Linked DNA regions of Saccharomyces cerevisiae S288C. Changing the gene in region 1 together with any one later gene gives a genetic interaction. Each region holds a gene or a part of one and is shown in the gene's direction. Other genes may lie near its edges.

Region 1 (3,185 bases):
CGGCTGACTTTGAACTGGAGCCAGTGCCAGCATTGGTCAAAGAATTATCGAGTACATAAGACCCGTTGTTCTTTTTTTCTCTATCCGCTGTTGCAGATGAGGTTAGCTCCGAATCTCTTATTTCATTCGTATTATCCAGTTGACGATTCATGCTATTGTATTTCCCACCGTCGTCCCTTACCAAACGAATAAGGCTATAAAAGGCCTCGTCTACGTTGATGGCTTGTTTCGCAGACGTTTCTAGAAAGGGTGCATTCAACTGCTTGGCCAGGCGTAACCCGTCTTCATAAGAGACTTGTCTTTCATTTTCAAGGTCCAATTTGTTACCTACCACGACTACAGGAATGTAGTCAGAATCTTTTACTCTTTGAATTTGCTGATAATAAGACAGTAACTCATCAAAGGAATTTCTAGAGGTGACGGAATAGACCAGTAGGAAACCTTCCCCAGTCCTCATGTACTGTTCTCTCATCGCAGAATACTCTTCTTGTCCAGCAGTATCTAGAATGTCCAAAATGGATACTTTGTCATCGATGACAACTTGTTTTCTGTAAGAATCTTCGATAGTAGGGTCATATTCGTCCACAAAGTATGATTGAATGAATTGAATTGTTAAAGCAGATTTACCAACGCCACCTCCACCGACAACTACTATCTTATACTCTCTTATAGTTGATTTATTTCCCTGCATGTCGTTCTAAAAAGGGAAAATTTTGTTTACCTGTTCAATCGTGAAATAGCCAAACCGAAGTCAATTGTGGCAGCAGTTAATTAAGCATTGCAAGAAAGAACAAGACAGATGATAATAGAGACACCGTACAAGAAAGAATCCAAATTAAGAGAACCATACAAAGACATAAAATATAAACCTTTCAATGTAAAACAAAAGGAGGAAAAAACCTGAAAAGCCGTGAAAAATTCATAATCTTGCGATGAGTTGAAAAAGTTTGTTGTCAAATGTCCATAGACTTACATGTAGTAAATATTTTTGGTTTCTTTTTTTTTCTTCGTGCTTTTTTTTTTTCCTACGGGTTTACATTGTGCCAATGTGAATTTCCCCGCCACTCCCTACCGAACGGGTAGCAGCGTAGAACATAGCGATCAAGGGTGTGCTAAGTGAAGAAGCAATTCAGTGCGGGTAATACATATTCCTAGCCTCGTTTGCCGTTACATTGCATTGATGGTACAATAAAGGGCATGCTTTATATCGAGATGTTTCAGTGTATATGAGGGGAAACAGAAAAGAGTCATTCCTGCCATTTTTTGGTCACTGCTTTTTCTGCTATGAGTAATGGTGAAGTTCCTTGTGGCTACACGCTTAATGTCATCGGGTTACTGCTCCTAATATCCGCATATAAGCTTTATGCAGGGATCAGTTGGGCGGCTATTTATCTACACCCAGTCATCCGGCGTGACTGGATCTCCACTTGCCGCAATAAGTCGGTGGACAAATGGAGATTTAAGAGTAAAGATGCATGATGGTATAATTCCTTTAGTCGAAATAGATATATTTCAAGCGCATATATAGGCAGACGCTTGTACTGTAGAAATAGCCGATATTCAATTGCGCTCTATGTGTGTTTTTATTCCAGGTTTTCCTTGGATTCTACGTATTGTACGACTTTCTTATCCTCCACAAACGTCATCGTGTCAGTAATGTCTTCAGACACTTCATTATCAGAATCTTCATTATTGAAAGAAGAGAGTGGGAGCTTGACCAAGTCTCGTCCACCTATAAAATCAAACCCTGTACGCGAAAATATCAAATCATTTGTGGCCGGTGGAGTTGGCGGGGTATGTGCGGTGTTTACGGGTCATCCCTTCGATTTGATTAAAGTGAGATGTCAAAATGGACAAGCGAATTCCACGGTACATGCCATTACAAATATTATAAAAGAAGCAAAAACTCAAGTAAAGGGCACATTATTTACCAATTCCGTAAAGGGGTTCTATAAAGGTGTTATCCCGCCCTTATTAGGTGTTACTCCCATATTCGCTGTTTCTTTCTGGGGTTACGATGTGGGTAAGAAACTGGTTACTTTTAATAACAAGCAAGGAGGCAGTAACGAGTTAACTATGGGACAAATGGCTGCAGCAGGATTTATCAGCGCTATTCCTACCACTTTAGTGACTGCGCCAACGGAAAGAGTAAAGGTTGTCCTGCAAACATCTTCTAAGGGCTCTTTCATTCAGGCGGCTAAAACCATTGTTAAAGAAGGTGGCATAGCTTCTTTATTTAAAGGTTCATTAGCCACTTTAGCAAGAGATGGGCCTGGCTCAGCTCTATATTTTGCATCTTATGAAATTTCAAAAAATTACTTGAATAGTAGGCAACCTCGTCAAGATGCGGGCAAAGATGAACCGGTCAATATCTTGAACGTGTGTCTTGCTGGTGGTATTGCTGGTATGTCGATGTGGCTAGCTGTTTTCCCCATAGACACTATAAAGACAAAATTGCAGGCTTCCTCCACGAGGCAGAATATGCTTTCCGCCACAAAGGAAATTTATCTACAAAGAGGTGGTATCAAGGGATTTTTCCCTGGTTTAGGTCCTGCTTTACTAAGATCTTTCCCAGCCAATGCGGCCACATTTTTAGGTGTGGAGATGACTCATTCACTGTTCAAGAAGTATGGCATATGATTAAATTTTTGTTAGGTGGACCTGCCTCCCATTTTTTTCTGGCATTCCTTTTGGGAACTTTTTGTTATTTTTTGGTTCTGCAATTTCGTTCAGTGTATGGTAGAAAATATCAGTTGGGTTATCCCGGTTTCCTTGGCGTTGTTGTCGAAGCGTTCATATTTGTAACGCAATGGAGTAAATATAAATGTGATATGTAAAAAAAAGAGTTATAATTTATTCTGTTTCTTTAAATAGTATAAATAAAAAAAGTGGAAAATACAAAGACAACGTGGGCTGATTACAGTATAATCAACCGATATGGTTTTGCCAACCAGCAGGCTTTGGCAACTTGTTTATATTGTAGAATTTAGTAGTACATGAATAACTGTGCCATGTGAAATCTTTGCTTGGATCACAGTCACATTTGTTAGCCAGTCTGATACTTGTGTCTATTGGACAGGAGTGAAATGGAACATGGTAATAACCAATATCACCGAAGTGATGGATTTCAGAGCGGTCCAAGAACAGCGCAGCACCAATAGAATGAACTGGAGCATCACCCCATC
Region 2 (9,105 bases), on another chromosome or scaffold:
ATATCGGCCACTCTGCTAACTCACCGATACTAGAAAAAACCAAAAGCATTAAACCGGAAATTCATGTTGGGAACGTAAGTTGGTTGTTTTATATGTTTGCGCTGCAAAAATTTACACCTGTATCGCAATGTAAACTTATTCACCAACCATTTCATGCGAAATTATTTACTTCTAAGGAATTAACAGTCGCGTACACTAATTATTTCGGCTCCCAAAGGTTTTATATTCAGAGGTTAGTAGAAATATTAGGAGGACTTAGCACACCTGAACTAACAAGAAAAAACACACACTTGATCACGAAGAGTACAATTGGCAAAAAATTCAAAGTCGCAAAAAAATGGTCACTGGACCCGCAAAATGCCATTATTGTGACAAATCATATGTGGTTAGAGCAATGTTATATGAATAATTCCAAGTTAAACCCCAAAGACAGTAGATTTCAAAATTTTAAATTGGATGATAACATGGGATGGAATATCGGCCAAATAGGAATGGATCATTCATCTCTCCCAACTCCAAAAAACCTATCGATGGTGACTTACGACACGCAATCCATATCAGAGAAGCCGCCTCCCACAAATGATCAAATGGATCAAATTAACGATAACACCAATGTATTATCAAAGAAAGATGGTACGCCCATTAGTAGTTTTGAGAACTCAATTGATGAAAAGATTGACAAATTACAAAAAATATCAGGAGAGGTGGCTGTAACCCATTCTGGAGATTTAGAACGGAGTTTTGTTTCCAGACCTTCAAGGGCAAGTTTTCCAGTAGTTGACAGTAAAAAATCTAATTTACAAAAGAAAGACTCAAACTCAGATATTAGTATGGAAACAGAGGTTTTCTGTGAAGGACATGAAAAAAGAGAAGAAAAGGAGTTTACGAAACCTATTACGGAGTATGATGCACCTAAGAAACAAGAAATAAGGGAACAGTCACGCAAGAAGAATGACATAGATTATAAAAAAGAAGAGGAAGAAACGGAGCTGCAAGTTCAGCTAGGACAACGAACTAAACGAGAGATCAAAACTTCGAAGAAAAATGAAAAGGAGAAAGAAACCAATGAATGTCACATTGAAGTAGATCAAATGACGAATGAAAAGCAAGGGGAGGAAAGTACAGGAAAACTGATTTCTACGGAAGACGTCACTTCTAAAAAAGATACAGATAAATTCTCGCATTTGTTTGAAGGATTATCTGATAATGATGATCACATTAATGACGAAAAACCGGCAGTTAATTCCAAATATACCACACCCAAGACGTCTCAAAATATTACGAGTGGCGTTGATACTCCAACCACCGCGCAAACGCAAGTTTTTATGCCATCAAGTGGCAATTCAAGGTTAGCAAAGACACAAGCTGCGAAGAGATTGCATACAGATATTGAATCATTAAATGAATTTCAGAAAAACTTTAAAAGGAAGAGAATTGATAGCGAGGAGATTTCATTGTCCCAAGATGTTGAAAGGTCAAATAATAACAAAGAACTGGCTACTAAAGCGGAAAAGATATTAGCTAGATTTAATGAACTACCAAATTATGACCTAAAAGCGGTTTGCACCGGTTGTTTCCATGATGGATTTAATGAGGTTGACATCGAAATATTGAACCAACTAGGTATAAAAATTTTTGACAATATTAAAGAAACGGATAAATTGAATTGTATTTTTGCTCCAAAGATTTTGAGAACCGAGAAATTTTTAAAAAGCTTAAGTTTTGAACCGTTAAAATTCGCATTGAAACCTGAATTTATTATTGATTTACTGAAACAAATTCATTCTAAAAAAGATAAACTTTCTCAAATAAATATAAACTTGTTTGATTATGAGATAAATGGAATTAATGAGAGTATAATATCAAAAACCAAACTACCTACTAAGGTGTTCGAAAGAGCGAATATTAGATGCATTAACTTAGTCAATGATATACCGGGTGGTGTAGATACAATAGGCTCTGTTCTAAAGGCACATGGTATCGAAAAAATCAACGTTTTACGTAGTAAGAAATGCACATTTGAAGACATAATCCCAAATGACGTTTCTAAGCAGGAAAACGGAGGCATTTTTAAATACGTACTTATCGTCACCAAAGCTTCACAGGTTAAAAAATTTACCAAACTGATTAATGATCGTGATAAAAACGAAACAATTTTGATTGTTGAATGGAATTGGTGTGTTGAATCAATTTTTCATCTCAATGTTGATTTTACATCAAAGAAAAATGTTTTGTATCAAAAGAAAAATAACTAAAAATGGACACTATATATTACGTCATCTGACATACGACACTGATAACAAATAAATATATAATAATTATAAAGATGCGTTGTAGAAAATCTTATGTTCAACAAACAACCCACATATGATTAACAGACCATTTTAAATGTCTAGTTAGAAACAATTATTTGGTACTGTCTTTGAATTAGATTGTTTAATAAAGCATTTCTAATATAGGATACAAAGGGTCAAATAGTACCGTGAGTAGAATCATTTATTCCACACTTTATCCGCAAACCTTTTAATTTTTCTACAATTTCATGGATAAAAACAGATTCATGGCCAGAATGCGTAAAGCAACTCTATTGTACAATTTTCCACTCTGAGATATTCACACAGCGGAGAGCCCTTCTACTCAATGCGTCAAGAACAATGTTCCAAACCTAGTGTATTTTAGGTATATTATTACGAGAGTATCCGCAATGTTAATGACGCAAAATTTAATGGCTCAAGCCAACTACTAACGTTAGTAAGAACTTTTTGATCTAATAATTAAACAGGTTACATCCATAGATTTACGTCAGAAATCTTAAATAATGTTTACATGCGAACAGTACCAAGATACATATATGTGGAGCGGATGAGAGATAAAATTGGGTTAAATGGGAAACATTACGGTATGATGCATAATTTTGAGTTTGGGCTTATTATCCTCGTGCGTATTGTATCGTCTCAATATGAGTGAAGATAAATCACCTATTACCCGAACTTTGAAGAGAACACTCTGAAAATTTGGTGAATAAGAAAGGGCTGTAGGTATTATTCGCGAAGCTTTCATTTATTGTAGTGAAAACTAGGGTGACAGAAGCTGATGGTCTGTTCTTCGATTTAGTACTGCCAATTTCAAGTTTTTCACTTCTATAGCTTTGGTATTGGTCATTGTAGAACAATTTTATAATGCATGAACACAAAGCGGAGCTACGGCTAATAACCGTTGCACTTAACGAAGCATCCACCGATTCCCCCTCTTTTAGAGCTTCTGTCAATTATTTCCATACCAGAATGGAATCTCTGAGTAGTTGGATGCACAGTACTGTGGATTATGTAGAAAATACGTACAAGCCTTCGTTCCAAGACTTCCAAAGAATAAAGGAAACACTATTTTCACAGCTGCTCCCTTCTCCTATATTACTCTCCAATGGATTTGTCAGTAACCAGCCATATACTCCCTTGCTTGTAAGAGACTTTACTAGAGATGTCAGTGACCTTTCAAATACGGTTATGAAAATAATTTTAGGTGATGAAAACTCACAATACACTGCGGCATTGTCTGCTTTGAGCTCTGATGCTATTAACCCTTACTTCAACAAGAGAAAAACTTTTGAATACTACCAAAGGAAGTATGATTCGTTTTTAACTGACTTTTTAGCGGCCACTAATGATGGCAATACTTTAATTCCACAAAATCTGCAAAATGAAACATTCAAATTAGTCGATATTAAACACAAATATATAGAAGCTTCCTTGGATTTGACTGAGGCTATTTCGTTAATGAAAGTTAATTTGGATAAATTCCTGATAGAGACAATAGACATTGTGCGCAAAAATAACGTTATTACTACCAAGGACACCAAGGACGTTATCGACATTACTCCCGAACTTACGGAAACATTAAAGGATTGGACCGATTGGATAGAAAGTAACCTTCAGACTTTACAAGCATTGTCATCCAAGCTATCTGAAGCTAAGTATGCCATTCTGAAGCTCAGCTTGGCAAGAATGAAGCCATCTCGCCTGATACAAGACTATGATTTGAAAAGCATACAAAATTTGAAGTTTAACCTTCCAAAATCGATAAGTAACGGAAATAATTCTGAGGAAAAAGGGCTATCGGGTTGGTTGTACATGAAAACTACAGTTGGTCATGATCCGAAAAGAGTTGTGTGGGTAAGAAGATGGTGCTTTCTACAGAACAATGTTTTTGGAGTTTTTTCACTGTCGCCTAGCAAAACTTATGTCGAAGAAACCGATAAATTCGGTATATTATGGATAACTGTAGAATATCTGCCCAAAGAACCTAGAAATTTTTGTTTCAAATTGAGGATTCAAAATCCAAATTGCAAAACAGAAGAAGAAAATACATACATAGATATCATCCTGCAAGCTGAAAGTATTGACGAGTTAAAATCGTGGATAAACACCTTAACTTCTCACAAAAGAATCGCATTGTCGATAAAGGAGGAAAACGATCCTCGTTATCAATTGGCGAGAAAAAAAATTGAACCTCAATTTTTCGAGTTTGCTTCAAGTAGCTCAACGTCAACAGATAAATTATTAACTTCATTTTCCAGTAAAACTTTGACATTGGTAGAAGAGCTAAAAAAAAATTATATGTCAGAGGATGATATATACTCTATCATTGATAATAAGGCATACCATCTGAGAGTAATTTCTACACCGATAGCCACGCAGTTGACTCATTTGGCTTTATTCTCTACATTTCTATCTGTATCAAATTATTATCCGTGTGCTACCCAGGCAAACACCTGGGGTACGGCAAATTGGAATGATTTGTCCTATTTAGTCAATCCACTCAAAGGAAGTTCAGTACACAAGCCAGCCACAGTATCGAATTCTTCCAGGTTTTCCGTTAGCTACCCCGACTATTATCCATACAGCCTGAAAGTCGATGATATACAATTTAGATCAATTTTCTTTTCAGTGAATCATGATTTTTTACAAGTCCCAAAAGAACTTGTTCTTTTAAGATATTCATCGGTGTGGTGCCCGAACAATAAACAAAAATTTGCATCTATGGCTTTTGTTACCCTTAACCACATTTATGTCTATTTAAATATTTCAGGCTTTTCATATTTGAGAAGAATAGATTTACTAGATATCGACTCAATCGAATATGATAAAAGCCCAAAACATGTTTCTTCAAGAATGCTGCACATGCAAAGAGGCGATGGACTCAGGTTTAATATGTCCGTCTTTTTTACAGATCGAAGAGCAGTTGCCTCAAAGTTACAATTTCTGATAGAAAATAAGGCAATGCATATCCCAAAGGGCGAAAAAGAGGTTTTAGAAATTTTCCAGGAATTAGACGAAGAGATTGAGAACGAAAAAAAAATCATCAAAGATAATTTGTCAGAATCAGAACATTATTCAAAAGATTATGATTATCTATTGAAGAGCACGTATGACCATCATTTTGAGAATACTAACGAAACGCCTATGGAATTAATGAGCAGGAAACTCCGTTTAGAAAGGGAAGCCTGGTGCTACTTTCAAGACAATTTTAAAGTCGGAAGCAAGACGCTATTCCACGTTCTTTTTGGAGACAAATCTCAAGTTTTTCCAAGTTCACTATTTCTTTGTAAGAAGGGCAGTAACTTGAATAACAATTCATACTGGGAGCGCATTAGGCGCGCGAAAGAAGATGCAAGTTGTCAATTTGAACTTTGCCGTAAGTTACAGTTTCAACTGAATCGAACTTCTAATTTTATCAAAGATCTATTATGGTTGAAGGATGACAATGACAACTTCAAATTAGTTCTTCAGCAGCGTGTGACAAAAATAAAACAAGGTTATTATTTTGAGGTGGAAGAAGGTCCCATTATTGTGAAATTTCCGCTATGCCATCCCTTACTCCTTCGTGTGAGGTTCATAATTGCAGAATGTATCACCTCTCAAGGAGAGTCCCTCAAAAAATGTGACCTGGCAATACTATATGACTTCAACTATGTTGAATCTATTGATAAGTTGAATACCAAAGTTGAAAAACTATGGCTTTTTGAAAGAATACACCTCAACTGGGCATTGAGATATTGTAAACTTGAACATTCTGAAATTAACAGAAAGACGAGGGAATATCTAAAAAAATTCAACGATAGAGAAAAAATGAGTGATGTTATTAAATTGTGTGGATTCCTTGGTGTTTTACCAAAGGAAAGAATAGAAAACGATGAAAAGGCCGGCGATTTCATGCAACCTGTATATATCAATTATGATTTTCTGTCTCTTTCAAAAATTTTTACAAAATTGACCGTGTTTTATTTAAGCAGTGTCATCATTAAGACCATGAAAGTTTTACTGGCAATGGTAATGGTTATCTTCAAATGTTTTTCAAAAGTTAACAAAACTTTATACTATTGTCTTTTGATATCTGCGGTAACCAATTTGTTCTTTGTTGGTAAATCTATTCATTCATATTTCTCCGTAAAGTCAGCCGAAACCCTATTTCAGAACTATGCCAATGGTGATCAGCGAGGACTTCAAATCATGCATCGGTCTTTGACAGTGCCTGATTTGAACCTACTTACAAGAAAAATGATGGATAATGACCAGGAAAATCCAGTATTCAAGAGATTTGACGAAGACAAAAATGCATACCAGTACAAAGGAACAAGGCAAGAAATTGCAATTAAACGAAACCAAGTGCTGACGGAATTAAAAATTCTACAAAATACGGAAAAGGAACTCGTACAGGGAAGTTACAGAAAATTCATAATAACAGAAAGAGACAAATGCATCACCACTCAGAATGAAATCTTTGATTTATGGATAAACGATACCAAACTACAAGATTATTGTATGGCATGTTTTGCAGAGTACAACAGATTATCTGCCATTCCAGTCTGAATAGTGCCCCAGAATGTCTACTCTTCAATAATCAGAAGGACCCCGTCTTGTCTAATAGAATGGGTGAACTTTTTTTATTTCTTGGCTCATGATTATATTGTAAAATACATAGCATTTTATATAATTGTGGTGCTAACCCTAAGTACTTTTTTTTTTCGCCCTTTCCGGGTTTCTTTTTTTCACCTTTTCGTTTTTCTAGAATTTCGCAAAGTATATAAGAGACCATAAACAGTTGGAGAAAAATATCACAAATTTATCAGCCCAATTTATGGCAGCTTAAAAATGTCTAGGTCGATGCTTTCAACGATATCTTTATCAGGTGATTCTTACGCGCCAGGTGGATAGAGGAAATTTGCGACAGTAGGTTTACTGTCCTGGTTTCCTTGTACACTTGTGATACTCATTTTTTGTCTGCCAATAATATAGTCCTGTTTATTTGTTATATGATGATAACCTTCTCAGCTCACTCAGATCTTTTGATATGATTGATAAAAATTTCCTATCCAACATTCATCAATTTATCTGACCAAACAATAAACTTAGTACTATATAGTCTCGCAGGCAATTCTCTTGAATAATTTCAACTTTTATATCTTACATGAAACTTAAACACGATACATGTATCCAGTTTTCATCTCGATCTGGTTCGCTGTGAAATTTTACTATAACACTGTTTTTGAAGTAGGATTTTTGCCAATAAGACATTTCATAGTTCGTGTACAGGCCGTGATATTCATCTAATTTGTTCAACCACTTGAAGCCCCATAACTTTGTTTTATGGTTAACTATTCTGGAGGAGTCATCGAAAATTTCCTCTTCTATAGCATCCTGAACTTTTAAGCGGTTATATTCATATACTTCACTGAATCCCTTTTTTTCTAGTATATTGATCAAATCAGATAATAGCTCGATTCCGTGAATAACATATTTCAATGATTTGTTCTTTTTTGAAATGGCAATTTTTCGCAGCTTGTTTAACCTGCCCAAGGATTCCAGTACTGTTTCATTCTCATCAACAAGAAAAAATTTCAAAAGATTTAATGCTTCGTGGACCATATAATGTCTCGAATTCTGCGTTTTGACACTTTGTTCCTTTTCTAAGCGATTTACCTCCTCTGTATTTATGACATCATTCATCCATTCCTCATTATCTTGTTGATCATTTTCTGTGGCGTTTTCTGTCTTAATATAATTCCCATCTTTATCGAATACCCCATGTTTTATTTCGTCATCTATATTAAATGGCTCTATATTCACACCTTTTTCTACCTTGCTCTCTGAATTACCGATCTGATAATCTAAGTCGGCTAAGTTTTCTTTCTTGAACTCTGCAATATCCAAAAGCTGAATTTTCGATTTCTTTCGCTTTCTATGGTCTTCGACGTGATCTTCATTTTTTTCATAGGATTTTTCATCCATTTCTTTCCCACTATTTTCATTATCTGTAGAATCTTCAACGCTAGAATCAGAATCAGAATCATATTCTGCCCTGCTTAGCTCTTCATCTTCATATATCGTACTTTGATTATGTAACTCATCGCTAAGCTTTTCGTCGTGTTCACGTCGATCACTATTTCTTTTCAGTTTTGAGCTGTTCGGGTATTGCGTATATTTCATATCCTTCTACAAACAATATGGTGCACTTGAGTGTTTTTATCAAAGTTTTCCCTTGTTCTTTAAAAGGCAGCTTAGCATGGTCATTCCAATTTGTTCGGATGCGCTTCTTTTAATCTAGTCAGAGAAACTTACCCATTAAGTAATTAAAATCGATTATTAGGGCATAAATGGAAGAAAAGGAGACTATGTTGGTAGAATGTAAAGGAAGGGACCCTCATTCACAAACAAGGCAGGGACTTTTATGTTACTACTGAATGTTCATGGTGATGAGTGATAATGTCCTTTAGCTAATAGAGTAAGCCACACTTATTCAAAGGTCAATTTGGAGTAGGCTTACAAATGTAGTCTTTTCTTTCATAAACCAGTAGTGTTAAACTTTATGTTTCTTCAACTTTGACGCACAATATTTGGCGGCTATTTTCCGCTATACCAAATAAAATATATCTTTTGTATAAGAAAACAAACTGCTGAAGAAAAGAACATACAGCAACTTGGACAACATGTCCATCGAGGAGGAAGATACAAATAAGATCACATGTACGCAAGACTTTCTTCACCAATACTTTGTAACTGAAAGGGTTAGCATTCAATTTGGGTTAAATAACAAGACCGTAAAAAGGAT
Region 3 (5,745 bases), on another chromosome or scaffold:
ATTTAGTAAGAAATTTTGACAGCACCCTCGGTTTAATGGAAAAGAGGGGCGTTTTTCGATGAACCCGAGGGGAGACTAGAGAATCATCTCGGTTGAATGGAGCATTATTTTTTTAGTAGCGCCCGCCCGGAGAAATGGACGTTGGCGAATGAGCCATGAATTATTAACCGCCCATGTCTACCAGATACCACATCGTATGACAGTACCAGCCTAGTCCCGGTAAACCGCAAACGGACCTTAATTGTGACGAAGGGCCCAAATTTGATGGGTCGGTGTTAATGATTAGTCCTCATTGTCATAATAAAGTGTGATGATGGAGGCAATGATGATATACGGTAGTACTACTGCTCGAGGTGCTATCTTTTAACCAATCCTTTGAGATTCTTGTCGCCACGGAGTTACTACCTTTTACAAACCGTAATGTCACATTTTGCATATATCTTATGTATAAATATATAGTTCACTTACTACTTGTTCTCGTTTTGTTAACTTTCTTGTTGTAGTTCTTCTTGTTCTTGGCGTTTCCCCCTTTGTTTTCTATCTGCTTCATAAGTAAAGTGCAAAGCATTTTGGAAGATATTATCAATTGAGTCATTGAAAGAAACTTGGCATCTTCCCTATTACTAAAACTAAGAATACTTGATTCAAGAAAGAAGTTTATATTAGTTTTAGCCGTAAGATAACATAACAAAGAAGAAGAAAGAAAAATGTCTCAAAAAAAGAAGGCTTCCCATCCAGCCATCAATCTCATGGCTGGCGGCACAGCAGGTTTATTTGAAGCATTGTGTTGTCATCCTTTAGATACAATTAAGGTGAGAATGCAAATATACAGACGGGTAGCTGGTATTGAACATGTTAAACCCCCAGGATTTATTAAAACTGGGCGTACCATTTATCAAAAAGAAGGTTTCTTGGCTCTGTATAAAGGTCTAGGTGCTGTGGTCATCGGTATTATACCTAAGATGGCAATCCGTTTCTCGTCTTATGAATTCTATAGAACCTTATTGGTTAACAAGGAATCAGGAATTGTGTCTACCGGTAATACTTTTGTTGCTGGTGTTGGGGCTGGTATCACCGAAGCTGTTCTTGTCGTGAACCCGATGGAAGTTGTAAAGATTAGGTTACAAGCTCAGCATTTAACTCCGAGTGAGCCAAATGCTGGTCCTAAATATAACAACGCCATTCATGCAGCCTACACTATTGTCAAAGAAGAAGGTGTTTCTGCCTTATATAGAGGCGTTTCCTTAACTGCGGCAAGGCAAGCAACTAATCAGGGTGCTAACTTCACAGTTTATTCTAAACTGAAGGAGTTTTTGCAGAATTACCATCAGATGGATGTCCTACCTTCATGGGAAACTTCTTGCATAGGTTTGATTTCGGGTGCTATTGGGCCGTTTTCCAACGCTCCATTGGATACTATAAAGACAAGGCTGCAAAAGGATAAGTCCATCTCATTGGAAAAACAGTCCGGTATGAAGAAAATCATAACCATTGGTGCTCAACTACTGAAAGAAGAAGGTTTTAGAGCTTTGTACAAGGGTATTACCCCAAGAGTGATGAGGGTGGCTCCAGGTCAGGCTGTCACCTTTACCGTTTATGAATATGTAAGGGAGCATTTAGAAAATTTGGGTATATTCAAGAAGAATGACACACCAAAGCCAAAGCCATTAAAGTAGATGATGAACAATGGGACTACAAAATGAAATAAAGAAAAAATAGAAATAGGCTAGAAGATCAATTATTAATCGCCCTATTCTTCCTTATTACCTACACAAAATAAAGCAGCAACATAAGAAACAAAAACAAAATGAAAACAAACCAAATAAATCTATGTAAGCATACTCATTTCAATTTGATATTCATTACTTGACTTTTTTGTCCTTATTTGAGGCTCCATAAGCGCGCCATTTTTCCCTACTCCCTTTTTTCGTAAATAGTAATAATGTGCTGAAAAGAACAATGAAGTAGTTATCATACATATTCCGTCGTGTCGATATGAGGGGAGGTGTCTCTTTCTTTCATCCCTTGTCGCAACCTCCAATATATAAGAGCATAAGCAACTGATCTTACTTTAGTAATTAACTTAGCATACCTAGCCCGAAGGAAGAAAAAAAATTCACCTCAACAACATGGTTCCTAAGTTTTACAAACTTTCAAACGGCTTCAAAATCCCAAGCATTGCTTTGGGAACCTACGATATTCCAAGATCGCAAACAGCCGAAATTGTGTATGAAGGTGTCAAGTGCGGCTACCGTCATTTCGATACTGCTGTTCTTTATGGTAATGAGAAGGAAGTTGGCGATGGTATCATTAAATGGTTGAACGAAGATCCAGGGAACCATAAACGTGAGGAAATCTTCTACACTACTAAATTATGGAATTCGCAAAACGGATATAAAAGAGCTAAAGCTGCCATTCGGCAATGTTTGAATGAAGTCTCGGGCTTGCAATACATCGATCTTCTTTTGATTCATTCGCCACTGGAAGGTTCTAAATTAAGGTTGGAAACTTGGCGCGCCATGCAAGAAGCGGTTGATGAAGGATTGGTTAAGTCTATAGGGGTTTCCAACTATGGGAAAAAGCACATTGATGAACTTTTGAACTGGCCAGAACTGAAGCACAAGCCAGTGGTCAACCAAATCGAGATATCACCTTGGATTATGAGACAAGAATTAGCAGATTACTGTAAATCTAAAGGTCTCGTCGTCGAAGCCTTTGCCCCATTGTGTCACGGCTACAAAATGACTAATCCAGATTTATTAAAAGTTTGCAAAGAGGTGGACCGTAATCCAGGTCAAGTTTTGATTCGTTGGTCTTTACAACACGGTTATTTACCACTACCGAAGACTAAAACTGTGAAGAGGTTAGAAGGTAACCTTGCAGCCTACAACTTTGAACTGTCAGACGAACAGATGAAATTTCTTGATCATCCTGATGCTTATGAGCCTACCGATTGGGAATGCACAGACGCGCCATAAAAAGAAAATGCGAACCGTAGAATAACGTATATAGAACATATAATTAGTTTACGTTTCACAAAGTATTAATATTACATGTAGCTTTTTCAGGACTTTCGATCTAAATCAAAGATTAAAGGAGCTGCTAGAGGTAGAAAAGGAAATCATTGACTTTTCTTGAAGATTTATGAGCGGGTAACTGGAGATGGAAATTTTCAGAAAAATTGTAAATGGATGCGATGACTTCGATGTGACGTTACTAGTCTTACCATTGTAAAAACCACTATCGGTGCCAAAAGATAAGCGCAATCAACTAAGAAATTTACCACGCTCTTTGTATTGTATTTATCTCCAATTTAATCTTTCTTTTGGTGTGAAAATTTAGCGAAAATGTCATTGGTGAATTCGTTAACACACTACGAAATTTTAAGAATTCCATCGGATGCAACACAAGATGAAATCAAAAAGGCATATAGGAATCGGTTACTAAATACGCACCCCGATAAACTTTCTAAAAGCATACATGATACGGTTAGCAACGTCACAATCAATAAGATTCAAGATGCTTATAAAATACTATCGAATATAAAAACTCGTCGCGAATATGATAGGTTGATCCTTGAAAACTATAAACGCCAAGGATTTCATAATTGTGGTGATGGGCTGGATGAATTTTCCTTAGACGATTTCTCATTTGATGAAGATAAGCTGGAGTTTATGATGAATTGTCCTCGCTGTCAATTTGTTGGTGGTTTTCATTTTAGTGAGAGTTTGTTAGATGAATGCATTGATAATGTAGACGCTATGGAACGGAGTCATTCTGGTTATCAATTATTAACCCAATGTAGCGCATGCAGCTTATGGCTGAAGGTTAATTTTGACATCGAGGAAGAGCAAGAAGGACAATAATGAAAATGGGAGGGGAAATTGAGCATATCAGATAAATCTGTTTATAGAATTATTATTTTACTTCGTGGGAAATCGAATGGTGTATATAAAAGAGGTTGTAAAATTGACGAAATAAATAGTATTTAGGCAACTAAAGATAAAAAAATATTATTTATTTTTATTCGCGGTGCGTTGCCAGATTTTTTTTGACATGCGGAATTTTGGTAAAAAGAAAAATGCAGATATGAATAGTAAACAAAGGAATAAAAAGCCTTTCATGAAGAAGTTCGTGTTCGAGATCTTCTTCCTTCTTTTTCGCTGTCGACGATAGATATGAATGCTTTTGCCATTGATTTCAAATCCGTCATTAAGCTAACATGACCTGAAGAACTGGCGATTTTACAAACAACTGGAAAGCCTCTCTGTTCAGGCAATAACCATTTATGGTGAACAACACCGTCGCCCGGACCATAGTAAAAATCTTCATAATTCCCATCTTTTATATCTTGTATACCGTTCACTTTAGCACCTCTAACAGTGGGAACCTTGTTACCGTAAACCATGGCCAATGGAGGATATTCTTTGTTCGGGTCGTAATCTAAGCTATCCAAATAATTCTTTGTACGTTTTAAAGTTCTCGCTAAATATTCACAGCTATCTTCATAAGATGTATGGAAGACTTCATCGAAAGGCACATCCCTTGGTACCTGTTTATTATTGCCGGCTACATTCCTAACAACAGGTGCATTTAGGACAAACTTGGTAGTTGCGTTTAGGGTAGCTTTAAGCGAAAGCGCTGATTTCGTTTTCCTTGGTAATAATTTTGATTTTTCGTGAGCTGATTCCTCTCTTTTCTCATTGACGAGAGGTGACAAGCCAAGGGTTTTCCAAACATCTGTATCAAAAAAATCGAAATCATACCTCTCTAAGGTAATTTTGTCAACAAAACATCTACCATCTAACGGTAGAAAATAGAAACTACTTCTCATAAAAAAGTTGGTTTCTTTAGTGAAAATAGTTTTATTCCACATCACATCATCTCCAAACCTAATAGGACCTAAAATATTTGGACATTGGCTTGGGGAACCCACGTAAATAATACCTCTTATCAAATGAGTACAGTCTTGCAACACTTTATGTGCGACCAATCCGCCCATTGAATGGGCAATGATGTATATTCCCTTCTTATTTTTTTGCTTATTGTAAATTTCCTCTAGTTTAGTCGTTAAATGCTTGGCAGATATGTCCAAGGATAATCTCCAATCATAGCCAAACTGCTGAACATTTAAATTAGGATTTGCGTCTAGCCTCTTTATCAACCTCTTAGAGATATCAACAGGCCCTATATGTGTTAGCATTCCATCAGGGACAATCTCCTTCTGAGTTTTAAGTTCATCTTCGTCATTAGGTCCGATCAATAAATCGACTTTCGTCATATTCAAACCTGCCTTTAATGGGATCCAAATTCGCTTATGAGTAGTAGCATCCCTTAGCACACTACCTCGATATCCACCCATTATAACGACATCTCCTTCCAATTCATTCCATATAGATTCTAAACGCGAACGGTAATATCCGTCATGAGTTTTGTCGAATGGGTCTGCTGTTATTTGCTTAATGGAGTTCTTCAAGGCATCCATTTCCAAAGATTCTTTAACAGCCCTTAACCTTGAATTATCAATGCCCCTTTCGTATTTAAATAATTCTATCTCTTCCAAGGAAGAAATGGAGGTTGATTTTTTCAGTTTTTGCTTGATCTCATTCTTTCTTAGATTCTTTTTGATGAACTCATCTGGAGTCTTGGGAAGCACAGTTTTAATTATGGCTAATGGTGAACTTGATCGGAAATTTGTATTACCAAATGGTAAGGAAAAGGAGAAAGTTTTATGAGAGCTGTCAT
Region 4 (5,709 bases), on another chromosome or scaffold:
GGTTGATGCAAGTCGATCTCAAATCGGATAACGCTGCCAACTGGGAAATTCCGCAATTCCGCAAGAAAAAAAAAAATGTGAAAACGTGATTGCATTTTTTACAGGTCCTAAAGGATTTAGCCCACATATCAAGAGGGTGGCAGTAATTGCACTGATTAAGCATTCGTCAGCATTAGGCGAATGTGTGCATGAATATTGCCAGTGTGCTCGATATTAGAGAGTACATTGAAGAATATTGTACCGGATTATGTACAATAACTTTGTTAATGAGATATTAATTTTCTTTTTTACTAGCCGCTATCCCATGCACGATGCTAAATTTCAAGAAGAAACTGAGATTTAAAAAATTAGTGGAAGCTGATAAAACGGACTATAATGGTGTATGGATTGAGGAATCTCGACATGTTTTTCCATCGTTTTCAACGATGACTGTAACCCGTAGATTGAACCAGGCATGCCAAAGTTAGTTAGATCAGGGTAAAAATTATAGATGAGGTTATATGTATGGTACGTAAAATTTACATGTTTGGATAGTATCATAAAATATAGAAAGGTGGAAGGGATTACCTAAAAATCAGAGTTTATAATATGCAAGGACGGCCTGTTGAGAACAAAAAACTGTAGTATCTATCGCTCACTATATATCTATTAAGTTAGGATTTTCTTGCTGATGCTGCTGTTGTTGCTGTTGTTGATTGATGGGGACAAACGCAGTGGGAACCATAACATACCCTGTTTGCTGACCCTGCATCATTTGTGGTTGCTGCTGCGCACCAGTAGAGGCATACTGAAGTTGACCGGCCACGGGATTCGTCATGTATGTGCCCATTGGTGATGTCACCACGTTTTGAGCCTGAAATGGATTACCTGTTTGACTATGAGCAAGAATCGGGGTGGTTTGTGCTTGTTGGAGGGTAAAAGGATTTGGGGAGTTTTGGAAATTTTGTTGTTGCTGTTCTCTGGCAATATTTTCTAGCGAAAATGGGTTGTTAGACCCCGTTTTTGTTGGATCTAAAGTGCCGGTCATAATTGCATTGTTCTCGGTGGTCGTGTATCCGCCGAACCCTGAGCCGGTGAAATTTGGGGTGTATTGAAGGTTAGAAGCATACATCCCAGTTTGTTGATTATTCAAATTTGGAGTAATCTGTATCTCACTTGGTTGTGGCATTGTAGACGCAGATGTCAACTGTAAAGCCTGTTGCTGTTGTTGCGGTATCAAGAAGGGGTTAGCAGTTGGTTGAGGGACTTGAGCGGTCATTTGTGGCTGGGTTGGTTCGAATGAAAAGGTGTCATTATTTAAATCTTGCTGTTGTGATCCAAATGGGTTGTAAGCATCTTGTGGGACCGTGGGGGAAATGAGCAACTGTTGGTTTTGTAATTGTTGCTCCAGCAGTCTTTTTTGTTCCCTTATCTGTTCCAGTTTCTTCTGCGCTATAGACTTATTCTTGTCATTGCTGTTGTTATTGTGACTACTGGTAGAGCTAATGGCCGTAGATGGTTTTCTATCTTGCTGCGGTTCAGAAGGTTCACCTCTTTGTCTTTTTGTTTCCTCTCTCAAATGCTCCTCAAGGGAGTTAATTAACTTTGTAGTAATATGTTTGATAACGGGGATTTTCAAACCGACAGCTTTTCCTATTTTTAGGTATCTAACAACATATTCTGTCATATCCACGAAATCCTTATAGAGATCCAGTGTTCTTTTTGCGTGCTCAATGGACAATTCGAAGAATGATTCTAAAAGTGTAATGACACCTTCATTAAGAGCATTGTACAGACCTAGTAAATCTTGTACTAACAATTGGAATGCATACAATAACAAATGGTTTTCTAAATCTGAAACAGAGTATTTATTCCTTATCAAGGCATTAATTTGAATTTCCAATGATTCAACATGATCTAGCTCTTCATCCATTGAAAGCTGGTTCTTACTGCCCAGCTTTAGCGAGGAGTAATTGTCTCGTAGGTGATCCATACCTAGCCTGCCATACTCTTCACAACGTGTTTTTAGGTATTCGTCGTATCTCTGCAAAGCCCTCATATCATTGGAAGACCACTTAGTAGTATGCGAAATCTTTCTCAATTGGAAAACATCCAAATTATGGGAATAGTGCCTTAGCGTGACATCTTTTTCGCCTTGTTGTATCATCAGATGCAACACAATCAATGCCTTATAAACAATGGTCCAGGCTGTATCAGACAACCTTATATCCAATGCGTGGGTAATCTCTTGCAATCCTCTTGCGCTCGAAGTGCCCGAGAGAATAGGGTCCACATATTTTTGCTTTGGAGGGGCCATCTTTATTTTGGTCGCCCCTTTAACCAACTTAGTATATAATGAAGACATTGTTTCACAAACACGCCTCTATATCTATTATAGGGGTAGCCGAGACAGTCGCGCTTGTATGCTTGATATTGTTACTCTCGTAGATGTTAGCAAGCGTAGCAAATTGGTACTCCTGCTACAGATTTATTTTTTCTCCTTCTAAAATTATAACTCAAGCAAGAAGCCCTAATAACAAGTTAACCAGACTAATAAGTCGACTTTTTCCTCGAATGTAGAAAAGAAACTTTTCTACGCAGCTGCAAACTTAATCTATCCCTCCACCAAAGCAAAATGAAAACAAAGCCATACTGGGAAAAATCTGAAAAAAAAAATGGTAGGAGTAAAAGAAAAGAAAAAATAAAGGTTACCCTGCAGTTTGGATAGTCGGGTAACATTTGGCCCTTTTCCTCCTTGATTGGATATTATTACCCCGATTACCCCTCATCTTGGGAGTGCCCCGCTTTTATTTCTCCCGCCAATCGGCTATTAACGGCTTTACGTCATTCCGTGGGCGGGTCAAGCGAGCCGCTCCCTGGTTTGGTCACGCAAAACCGAAAGGCTCAAACAAAACTAAGGCCATCATATATATATATGCGGCTGCGTGCGTGTATTCTCCCGGATAATATGGTGCGTTGCAATTGGAGTATTGGAGAAAATTTTCTTTTCCCTTTCATTACGGCGGAAATACTTCATATAAAAAAAAAGAATACAATCAGTCTTTAAGACTATACGCATAAGCATTCAAGACACATAGAAACACAAACCTATATTTTTAATGTCAGCATCAGCTTTTAATTTTGCCTTTAGAAGATTTTGGAATAGTGAAACAGGCCCTAAAACAGTACACTTCTGGGCCCCAACTTTGAAGTGGGGGCTGGTCTTCGCAGGGCTAAATGATATTAAGAGGCCTGTTGAGAAGGTATCAGGAGCACAAAATTTATCTTTATTAGCGACGGCACTGATTTGGACGCGTTGGTCGTTTGTCATCAAGCCCAAGAACTATCTGTTAGCTTCCGTCAATTTTTTCCTGGGTTGCACTGCAGGCTACCATCTAACAAGAATTGCTAACTTTAGGATACGGAACGGTGATTCTTTTAAACAGGTTATTCACTACATAATAAAAGGGGAGACTCCTGCAGCCGTCGCAGCAAAGCAAACTGCATCCACATCGATGAACAAAGGTGTGATCGGTACTAATCCGCCAATAACGCACTGATTACGTAAACGATAATATGTTCCTGAACTCGCATTTTTTTAATGATTTTTTATGACCTCTTATATATTCTTTCATTATATAACCTCTATATTACATCAAAAGATGGAAAAATATAAAAAAATTAAAAAAAAAAAAAAGAAATTTTTTCCAAAAGAGTATATTTATATGTATGTATACATGTAGGGAAAATAAGAAACTTTATTAATAGTAAAAAAGCATATATACTTTATTATTAACTCTTTTGTTTTTCTCGAGAAGCTTAATTTTGGGTCAATTCAACGACCTTTTTAGCAGCAGGATCTAATTCATCAAACGAATAAATCTTCACGCCTGACTTATTGATAATGTCGCGGCCTTCTTCTACTTTGGTACCTTGCAAACGTGCCACAATGGGGACCCTAACTTCTAGTTCTCTGGCGGCTTCTACCAGCCCCAGGGCAACATAGTCACATCTTACGATACCGCCGAAAATATTGACGAAAATTGCATCTACGTTCTTATTGGATAAGATCAATTCGAAACCTTGTTTGATGGTCTCAGGGGTGGCACCACCACCACAATCCAAAAAGTTCGCAGGATCGCCTCCATTTAATTTGATGACATCCATAGTAGCCATAGCCAAACCAGCACCATTGACTAAACATCCAATGTTACCCTTCAACTTAACAAAATTCAAATCATACTTCTTTGCCTTAACTTCATCAGGATCTTCTTGTGATAAGTCCCTCCAGGAATATATCTTTTCCTGTCTGAATGATGCGTTATCATCAAACCCAAATTTGGCGTCTGTACACATGATTTTGTGGGTTGGATCATGTTCAATTTCACTCAAAGGGTTAATCTCCACTTGTGTAGCATCCCTTTCCATGAATATTTTATACAAATTGGAAACAGCTTTTGCTGCCTCGTCTTGTGCATCGGGACTGAAACCGAGACTCTTGGCAACATCCTTGGCCATTTGTGGGCTCAATCCCTTTGAAGTTTCAATTGAAAATTTCTTTATAGCATCTGGGGTTCTCTCAGCCACCTCTTCAATATTCATACCACCTTGACTGGACGCAATGATCATCGGTTTCTTGGTTTGTCTGTCCATTAGAATAGATAAATAAGCTTCATGCTTTGTATCTACTCTTTTCACTATATATACAGCAGATACTGGCTTCCCCGCTATTCCCGTCTGTTTAGTAATCAGGTTATGATTGAGCATTTCTTTTGCAACATCCTCTGCCTGCTGAGGACTTTCGATCATGTGAACACCGCTTTTGTAACCGGTGTCGAAGTGACCTTTACCTCTACCTCCGGTCAATGCCTGCGCCTTGATGACCAGTTTGTTAGTGTTTAATTTCTTGGCTGCTTCGAAAGCCTCTTCGGGAGTGAACGCTGGAAATCCTTCTGGAGTACCAATACCGTATTCCCTCAATAACTGAGCTGACCTGTATTCATGAATTGACAAGTGTCTCCTTGCTTGTAAAGCAGCTTGCGCGTTTAGCCTGCTTAATTGCCCACACTTTGAAATTAGGGATAAGGATTTTCTTGAGTACATTTTGTTCAGTTGCAATGCTTCAGTATTTTTTTCGATTGTATTGACTCAATCCTTATTAATCCTAACTACCTAAAAGTCAGTTACAAAAAAACTGGACTATCGCTCTATAGTCACTGTTATTTTTCGAGAGAAAACGTCAAAGTGCTGATAAGGAAAACGTCGATCTTATATAAAACCTCAAAGATGTTGACTACGCGGCAATTGAAAGGCCAACCAACTTTTAGAATACTCACTCCGCCGCTGCGGGGAAAAGCCGAGAATTCCCGATGAACACATAATCGATACCAGTTGGAGCATTTTTCTCTGTACCAAGACATAAAAAGAGTTTTTTTTAGTATCTACCTGGCTTTGGTGTTCCATTCAAGGTAGAGAAGTCCTCATACAGTTGGAGAGATGAATGTATCTGTGTATATGTATGTATATATTAATATGGCTACGATGTCGTCTAATACCCCTTCTTCTTTTGTTTGGTGATGTGTGCACGTAACACTTTTTGCTTGTCTCGTAGTGACATTTTTTGTTTACCTCTAACAGATCTCTTGTGAATAGACATAACAAAGTTCTTCCTTCTTTCTTTTTCTCTGTTGGTAGTAGAACGCATGTTGTCACGCTTACCGCGTCTACTAC

What was found.
Region 2: mutations in CRC1 (region 1) and LAM1 together harm fitness more than expected from each alone (negative genetic interaction), as found in Saccharomyces cerevisiae (2 studies listed by BioGRID).
Region 3: mutations in CRC1 (region 1) and JJJ3 together harm fitness more than expected from each alone (negative genetic interaction), as found in Saccharomyces cerevisiae (2 studies listed by BioGRID).
Region 4: mutations in CRC1 (region 1) and MPC3 impair growth when combined (synthetic growth defect), as found in Saccharomyces cerevisiae (2 studies listed by BioGRID, with this or other methods).

The regions. Positions count from the first base shown.
Region 1 is NC_001147.6:512,750-515,934, reverse strand, and holds CRC1 (carnitine:acyl carnitine antiporter), read left to right. Parts: upstream 1-1,656; coding exon 1,657-2,640; downstream 2,641-3,185. Other genes in the region: Ras family GTPase RAS1, read right to left, coding at 1-691; alpha-1,2-mannosyltransferase KTR1, read right to left, coding at 2,929-3,185. UniProt on the Saccharomyces cerevisiae protein: Transports carnitine, acetylcarnitine, propionylcarnitine and to a much lower extent medium- and long-chain acylcarnitines.
Region 2 is NC_001140.6:403,924-413,028, forward strand, and holds LAM1 (Lam1p), read left to right. Parts: upstream 1-3,179; coding exon 3,180-6,866; downstream 6,867-9,105. Other genes in the region: RTT107 (Rtt107p), read left to right, coding at 1-2,255; U5 snRNP complex subunit LIN1, read right to left, coding at 7,461-8,483; REC104 (Rec104p), read left to right, coding at 8,984-9,105. UniProt on the Saccharomyces cerevisiae protein: Involved in mitochondrial fragmentation during programmed cell death in response to high levels of alpha-factor mating pheromone or the drug amiodarone. May be involved in sterol transfer between intracellular membranes.
Region 3 is NC_001142.9:609,066-614,810, forward strand, and holds JJJ3 (Jjj3p), read left to right. Parts: upstream 1-3,347; coding exon 3,348-3,866; downstream 3,867-5,745. Other genes in the region: SFC1 (Sfc1p), read left to right, coding at 708-1,676; YJR096W (aldo-keto reductase superfamily protein), read left to right, coding at 2,130-2,978; YJR098C (uncharacterized protein), read right to left, coding at 4,121-5,745.
Region 4 is NC_001139.9:974,238-979,946, forward strand, and holds MPC3 (mitochondrial pyruvate carrier), read left to right. Parts: upstream 1-3,098; coding exon 3,099-3,539; downstream 3,540-5,709. Other genes in the region: YGR240C-A (uncharacterized protein), read right to left, coding at 340-540; YAP1802 (Yap1802p), read right to left, coding at 638-2,344; LSC2 (succinate--CoA ligase (GDP-forming) subunit beta), read right to left, coding at 3,799-5,082; SDA1 (Sda1p), read right to left, coding at 5,528-5,709. UniProt on the Saccharomyces cerevisiae protein: Mediates the uptake of pyruvate into mitochondria.